Linked DNA regions of Xenopus tropicalis. The protein of the gene in region 1 binds, or shares a complex with, the protein of each later gene. Links are inferred from orthologs where the notes say so. Each region holds a gene or a part of one and is shown on either strand. Other genes may lie near its edges. The genes, in order: ppfia1 and ppfibp1.

Region 1 (3,815 bases):
CAGTAACCCCACTCTCTACCCCCGATGGCGGCCCCAGAAAACATTATTAAGAAAGAGAGTACAGAAAAGCTAAATAGGAGCAAAACACAAGAAAGTCAAGGGAAAAAGGGGTAAAGGAGCTAAAAGGCAAAGGACAAAAGAAAATAGAAAAAGCAATGGCTCAGACAGGAGAATAGGGAACAAAAAGGCCGTACAATAAGGATATTGGCACAAGGGGTGAGTCGGAGCTGACACTTAAGCTTTTTCGAGCTTGGCAGGGGCAACAAAAAGCTTGGAATACCCCCCATTCATTATTGTGCTAAATGCTCGTAGGCCCCGTGTGTATTACCCACAAACAGTATATTCAGACCTGGGCAGTAAACAAAAGTCACTACGTACCAGGCAGAAAGGAGGCCGTGCTGGCAGGTAGCGCAGCCACCCCAGCCCTGGCATGTGATCGCTCTATTTACCTTTGAAAGAGCAGCCACTCGCTGTGCCAGTTCTGCTTCTACCTCGGGCAGTGTTTCTGCTTTCCTCAGAGTCTGCTGCAGCTTCTGCTCCGCCAGCTCAAGCCGCTCCTGGATTTGCCGGTTCTTCTCTTCACTCTGAGTTGGGGCACAAAAAGTGAGGTTGTTAGGGACACTTCTCTTTTCCAACAGGAAAAGGTAATTTAAAAGGGGCAGTATACCCCATTGTTCAACATAAGTAAAACAAATAGCATAAAATTGTATAGTAAATGCTTTTACATTTTACCAATTTTCATTACAAAAAAAAATGTTTTTTGTTATTTCTTGACCTAAACAGGGCAAACAGGGACACCGAAGTTACACCATGTGTGGTCCTTGAGAAGTAGATAATTAGATTACCCTTCCCTTCTAAGGCGAAGACACAAGGGGGTGATTAGTCACCACAACTTTTTAAAACCGTTTAAAAAAAAAAAAAATTTGCAGCAACTAATTGATGTGCCACAAATAGCAATTAGTCGCGGCGACTTGTACATTAGTCTATGGCGGCTAAATCGTAGCTGTGGTGACTAATGTATCTTCTAGGGACGCACCAAATGCACTTTTTTGGGATTTTGAAAATTGGCAACTTCTGTGTTTATGTGACAAAAAGTTATGTGATCTTTAGGATTCGGATTCGGTTTGGCCAGGAGCTTGGAATCCTGCGGAAAAAGGCCAAATCCCAAACCGAATCCTGGATTCGGTGCATCCCTAATGTCTTCGCCCTACTCCATGCTACTCCATGTTTGATCTTGGTGCTCAATGAGCACATAATGGACGCCTGCTAACAAGACTCACAATAAGGTTGAAGACACGGAGCTACTTAGAGCAGCTACTTCACGCCAGAAAAGACCCTGCCATAGACAATACTAAGAACTGCTTCTGGTAAAACACACAGAGACAATTATCAGTAAATGATCAGCACTGACTGTTTTAGTAGCCATGACAAGTAGCTGCTACTAAGAGGCTCTCTCTGTGTGTCTTCACCCTCATAGCAGGAGTCCATTATGTGCTGACTGAGCACCAAGACCAAACATGGAGTAGCTTCAATTTTCCTTTTATTTCTTGAACTGATCAGGGCAAACAAAAACTTGATTTTTTTTAAACTCATGTTGAAGAAGGGGTACACTGGGCCTTTAAAAAATGATCTCCACCCCTTCTCTTTTGCATAGTGAAAGAAAATAAAATTCTAAGCAATTCAGTGAAAACACTAGTTTTGCAACAAATCCTTCCAAATGAACAGACCCAAGCAGTTAGCAGCCTTGGCCTGCAGCATTACCTGTCTCAGAGCAGACTCCTTATTAGCGATTTCATTTTCAAGTTTATCGTTGAGGTCGTGCACAGAGGTGGCTTCACGCTGTGCGGCGAGGTAGCGTTTTTCAAGAGTGGTGATTCTCTCTTCCATGTCATCCTTCTGGGCCATGGCCTGAAAAAAACATTACAGCTGGTAAGTAATTCATACAGGGGGGAAAGGTTTGTGTATCAATACTGCTAGATTACAAATGGTCAAAATAATGAAATAAACCAGGCACCTGGAACATGGAAAAAAAGGTAGAGTTTATCTTAACATGAAATTAATTAATATAGTAAAAGTATGTTTTCACATGCGCAGGTATGGGCTATACTCGGAACCTGGGGTTTCACAAATACAAAGAGAATATCAGAGCTGTGTAGAGTTTCTAGGTAATAGTCCCATACTTGTATTAACCTTCCTAGCCTTTTTACATTCTGCTACTGAACATGCACTCTGGTATTACCTGGCAATCAAAAAAGGGGTAAACAATGTGCCTTTAAATCTTCAGTTCTTACTTGCAAAGTGCTCCATGGCAACTAGGGCCATTAAGCCCTAGCAACAAACATTTAAAATTAGAAGCCTGAATGTTTTAGAACCAAATAAAAATTGTGCTACTGCCTACACCATACTAAGTTCATTAGAAAGGCAGCTCACTGCTGTCATACATTAACCTACCAGCACCTCCCAGCTGTATTTCTCTAATTTAACCCAATAATTCGAGCATCCATTCGGAGCTGTTTCCGAATCTAGCATCTGCTATCTTAAGCAAACGGAGAAAGCTTCTAAAGCCGTTTACTCAGGTATGGTAATGGTTTCTGCAGCATAAATATATTGTTCTAGGTGGCACTAATGTGGCAAATCTATTGGCAGTAAAATGCCAAAATTACTTTCCTTCACCTTTAAGGAAGAGATGTAAAGGGATTTTTTTTTTTTAAAGTGCTTTACCCACTACATCAAATCTTAAAGCAAACCAACAGAGATAATGTTTGCTCTCAAAATTAGGCCTGGGTGCAAAATTTATACTAGGGCCGCCGCCTCCCAAACCTGTGCTTGCCATCCTCCGTACCAAAGATCACAGCAACCCTATGTGGACCCAGAACACCCCAAAGGTGAGGGCCTTATGCAGTGGCACCCCTAGCCCCTCTGAGTATTCTATACATTGCTATGTCCCTGGGCAGCTCCCCAGTGACCCAGAGCTCTCTAAACTAATGGGATGGGTATAACTAGTACAGGGAGAAGCAGTGTTTCTTTCTTAATAATTGTACTGACTTTCCCTCTCACCTCTCGTACGTCCCGTTGAAGTTTTGAGTTCATTTCTTCGGATTTGATGAGGTCCTTCCTTGCAGTATCGAGGTCTTCTTCTAGCTCTGTTACCCGGTTGGAAAGAACAGCCAGGCGCTCCTTCATTTGAACTTGCTCCTTGGTTTGTTTCTCTATGATATCCTGGAGCTCCATCACTTTAGATAGGTCCTCATTATGATTTATAGAGCAATCTGATGATCTCTGTCATAAAAAAAAAAAAAATAATAAATAGCGGTAATCCATTTTAATCCAAAAATGTTATATTTAGGGGAGATGGATTAGGTTATCCAGGTCCAAACTGTCCATATCTATATTTACTGGAGACATAAACCAATACCAAAGCTACAACTGGACTTACAAGCACCATTACATATGCCAACATTGCCAGCAGCCGTGTTTGAACCATCTCACCTTCCCGTTAGCGTTAAGTGCGTTCTCTTGCTCGTGGTTGACATCGGCTGTACCGTCATTGAATATTTTCTTCTGATTATTCTGCTCTCTTGAAATCATCAGCTGAAAACAGACACATTTTGGCAAAAATCAGTTTGACGCATTTAAAGGACTCCCATCCAGAACAGTGGTTTCCAAACCTCTTCCTGTTCTGTACTTGCATGAAAACAGATGAGCATTCATTCCAATCCCCCAAAAGAAATGTACAGTCCATTCTGCCAACTTGAAAAAAAAAACCCACAGCTAATGGTATAAAATATTTACAGAATAACATCTGAGCAGGATCC
Region 2 (3,815 bases), on another chromosome or scaffold:
CCCCTGGGTAAGTGAATCCAATCTCCCCCCAGTACTTACCCAGGTACAGAGCTCTGATTCTCTGTACTTCCTGCTCCTGGGCTGCTCTCTTTCCCATGGTCAGGCAGGAACCCCCCCTGGGTAAGTGAATCCAATCTCCCCCCAGTACTTACCCAGGTACAGAGCTCTGATTCTCTGTACTTCCTGCTCCTGGGCTGCTCTCTTTCCCATGGTCAGGCAGGAACCCCCCCTGGGTAAGTGAATCCAATCTCCCCCCAGTACTTACCCAGGTACAGAGCTCTGATTCTCTGTACTTCCTGCTCCTGGGCTGCTCTCTTTCCCATGGTCAGGCAGGAACCCTCCCCCTGGTAAGTGAATCCAATCTCCCCCCAGTACTTACCCAGGTACAGAGCTCTGATTCTCTGTACTTCCTGCTCCTGGGCTGCTCTCTTTCCCATGGTCAGCAGGAACCCCCCCTGGGTAAGTGAATCCAATCTCCCCCCAGTACTTACCCAGGTACAGAGCTCTGATTCTCTGTACTTCCTGCTCCTGGGCTGCTCTCTTTCCCATGGTCAGGCAGGAACCCCCCCCTGGGTAAGTGAATCCAATCTCCCCCCAGTACTTACCCAGGTACAGAGCTCTGATTCTCTGTACTTCCTGCTCCTGGGCTGCTCTCTTTCCCATGGTCAGGCTGGTGTCCGTTGCTATAGACACAGAATCAGGGAGACTGCCTGGTGAGACGGGGCTGATCCGCGTGTCACCCCCACACTGTTATTATTGGGTATGTGGGCAGTAATGAATGCTCTCGGGGGGGGGGGGGGGGGTACGTCATTACTCAGACTCCTCCCCTACCCACAAACACCCTGTTGCCTCCCTGCAGATGTCGAGGTGCAGAAGATGAAGAAGGCAATGGAGTCGCTACAGGCTGCCAACGAGGAGAAGGTGCGTAGCGCGGCCCCCCCGGGGGGCAGTACCATTACCCTATAGTGCCCCCCGTCCCCTCCCTCAGCCAATGAGAATTCACCCCACTTCATAAACTCTCCCTCTAGTGTCCAAACTGTTGTTGGACTACAACTCCCAGCATCCTTCAGCAGCCAGTAGCCAGTTCTTTAATAGGTTTAAAACCCTCTGAATTTGCTCCTGGGTGGGAGGGGCCACATACAAAAGGGCACCCCCACTTATTGCCCCTTACCTGTCCCCCCACAGGAGCAGAAGATAGAGGAGCTCAGGCAGTCTCTGAACCGGTACAAGAAGGTGCAGGACATGGTGGTTATGGCGCAAGGTAAAAAAGGTAAATATTCCGTGGCCTTTGGTCAATTTCCCCTTTAATCCCAGCATTTTCTATGGAAACAAGATATTGGGGGTCTGTGGGCTCCAACGTTTGGGGGTTTTGCTTTCAGGCAAAGACGTGGAAAGTGACGACTCGGTGATATCCGGCTCCAATTCGCTGGTGTTCGATGGCATCGCGCTGAGTGACGCGGACAAGTCTCCCTCCCCTCTCCCCATATCGACCACCCCCAGCCCTGAGGAACTCCCCGCGGCTCAGGAGGTAAGTACCTGGGGGGGGGTTCCCCTTTGAATTAACTCTTAGTATGATGTAGAGAGTAATATTCTGAGACAATTTGCAATTGGTCTTCATTTTTTATTATTTGTAGTTTTTTAGTTATTTCATTTTCAGTTCAACAGCTCTGCAGTTTGGAGTTTCAGCAGCTATCTGGTTGCTAGGGTCCAAGTTACCTTAGCAACCAGGGAGTGGTTGGAATGAGAGACTGGTATATGAATAGGGGAGGGGCTGAATAGAAAGATAAGGAATAAAAAGTAACAATAACAATAAAACTGGAGCCTCACAGAGCAATAGGGTTTTGGTTGCTAGGATCCAAGTTACCTTAGTAACCAGGGAGTGGTTTGGATGAAAGACAGGAATATGGATAGGGGAGGGGCTGAATAGAAAGATAAGGAATAAAAAGTAACAATAACAATAAAACTGGAGCCTCACAGAGCAATATGTTTTTGGTTGCTAGGGTCCAAGTTACCTTAGTAACCAGGGAGTGGTTTGGATGAAAGACTGGAATATGGATAGGGGAGGGGCTGTATAGAAAGATAAGGAATAAAAAGTAACAATAAAACTGGAGCCTCACAGAGCAATAGGGTTTGGTTGCCGGGGTCAGTGACCCCCATTTGAAAGCTGCAAAGAGTCAGAAGTAGAAGGCAAAGCAATCCTATTGGATAAGAGGCTGAATGAGCCCCTGGTTCTGTTTCCAGCAGCCCAAGGTGGAGTTGCACACGAGTATCCTGCAGGTCTCCATCCCCTCCTTCTCCTCGCTCCGGCCCTTCCAGCGGCAGAATGAAGAGTCAGCTCCTTCGCCCAACATGGACGCCTCTCCCCTTGACGTTGGGTAAATGCCCCTCCCCGTGTCTGGGGTTTCCCTGCCCCTCGCCCCGTGATCTTCTTGCTTTTCTGATTCTGGGGGAACCATTGGGATTTTATGATGGTGCTGATCCACGGCAGGCAGGGGATGCTGGGAGTTGTAGTTTTGGGGATGCTTCAAACTAAGGATAAGGGATCCCCAGTAGAAGTGATGGGAGGGGGAGGTGCATAGCATTCAGGCAGGGGATGCTGGGAGTTGTAGTTTTGGGGGATGCTACAAACTAAGGATAAGGGATCCCCAGTAGAAGTGATGGGAGGGGGAGGGGCATAGCATTCAGGCAGGGGATGCTGGGAGTTGTAGTTTTGGGGATGCTTCAAACTAAGGATAAGGGATCCCCAGTAGAAGTGATGGGAGGGGGAGGTGCATAGCATTCAGGCAGGGGATGCTGGGAGTTGTAGTTTTGGGGATGCTTCAAACTAAGGATAAGGGATCCCCAGTAGAAGTGATGGGAGGGGGGGTGCATAGCATTCAGGCAGGGGATGCTGGGAGTTGTAGTTTTGGGGATGCTATAAACTAAGGATAAGGGATCCCCAGTAGAAGTGATGGGAGGGGGAGGGGCATAGCATTCAGGCAGGGGATGCTGGGAGTTGTAGTTTTGGGGATGCTCCAAACTAAGGATAAGGGATCCCCAGTAGAAGTGATGGGAGGGGGAGGGGCATAGCATTCAGGCAGGGGATGCTGGGAGTTGTAGTTTTGGGGATGCTATAAACTAAGGATAAGGGATCCCCAGTAGAAGTGATGGGAGGGGGAGGGGCATAGCATTCAGGCAGGGGATGCTGGGAGTTGTAGTTTTGGGGATGCTATAAACTAAGGATAAGGGATCCCCAGTAGAAGTGATGGGAGGGGGAGGGGCATAGCATTCAGGCAGGGGATGCTGGGAGTTGTAGTTGTGGGAGAGTCTGTCAATTAATCCAGAGACTCCTGGGACTTTTTAACCCTTCTCTGGCCAACATATCCACCTGCACAAGTCACTGAACTCTTTAGGGCCAGTGGGGGTTCCATACTTTACCACTAGGGGGCACTGTTCCCCCAAGGCAGTGAAAGAGCCCTAAAAACACAGTCATTTAATGTTGCCTTTAAAGTTCCTATCGGCCAATCGCTGAGGCCCCTGCATTCCCGAGAGCATTAATTCCACCTCTGTTTTGTTTTTCCCAGGGACGGCCAGGCCAGCAGCCCTTCCGCCGAAGCCACGCCCCCACAGACCCCGGGGTAAGTCTGCCAATGGGTATCGCCCAATAGTGCCCGACCAAAACAGCCCTTCCTCCATCTTTGCTGACAGTATGACCACCGGGGGGGGCATACATGACATTGTACTTTGGGGTTTACTTGCCCTTTACTCTCCTGTCTCAATGTATTTTTTTTATGTTTAGTTCCCCTTTAATTTTCATTTGTTCAGATCGCCAGTCT

What was found.
Region 2: ppfia1 (region 1) and ppfibp1 share a complex: the UniProt entries of both Homo sapiens proteins name them as parts of the cortical microtubule stabilization complex. The link is inferred for Xenopus tropicalis from reciprocal best matches to the Homo sapiens genes PPFIA1 and PPFIBP1.

The regions. Positions count from the first base shown.
Region 1 is NC_030680.2:14,517,762-14,521,576, reverse strand, and holds part of ppfia1 (liprin-alpha-1), read right to left. Parts: intron 3,592-3,815; coding exon 3,490-3,591; intron 3,280-3,489; coding exon 3,058-3,279; intron 1,909-3,057; coding exon 1,762-1,908; intron 585-1,761; coding exon 450-584; intron 1-449. UniProt on the Homo sapiens protein: May regulate the disassembly of focal adhesions. May localize receptor-like tyrosine phosphatases type 2A at specific sites on the plasma membrane, possibly regulating their interaction with the extracellular environment and their association with substrates.
Region 2 is NC_030679.2:2,636,342-2,640,156, reverse strand, and holds part of ppfibp1 (liprin-beta-1), read left to right. Parts: intron 1-859; coding exon 860-921; intron 922-1,185; coding exon 1,186-1,270; intron 1,271-1,379; coding exon 1,380-1,528; intron 1,529-2,241; coding exon 2,242-2,375; intron 2,376-3,563; coding exon 3,564-3,617; intron 3,618-3,804; coding exon 3,805-3,815. UniProt on the Homo sapiens protein: May regulate the disassembly of focal adhesions. Did not bind receptor-like tyrosine phosphatases type 2A.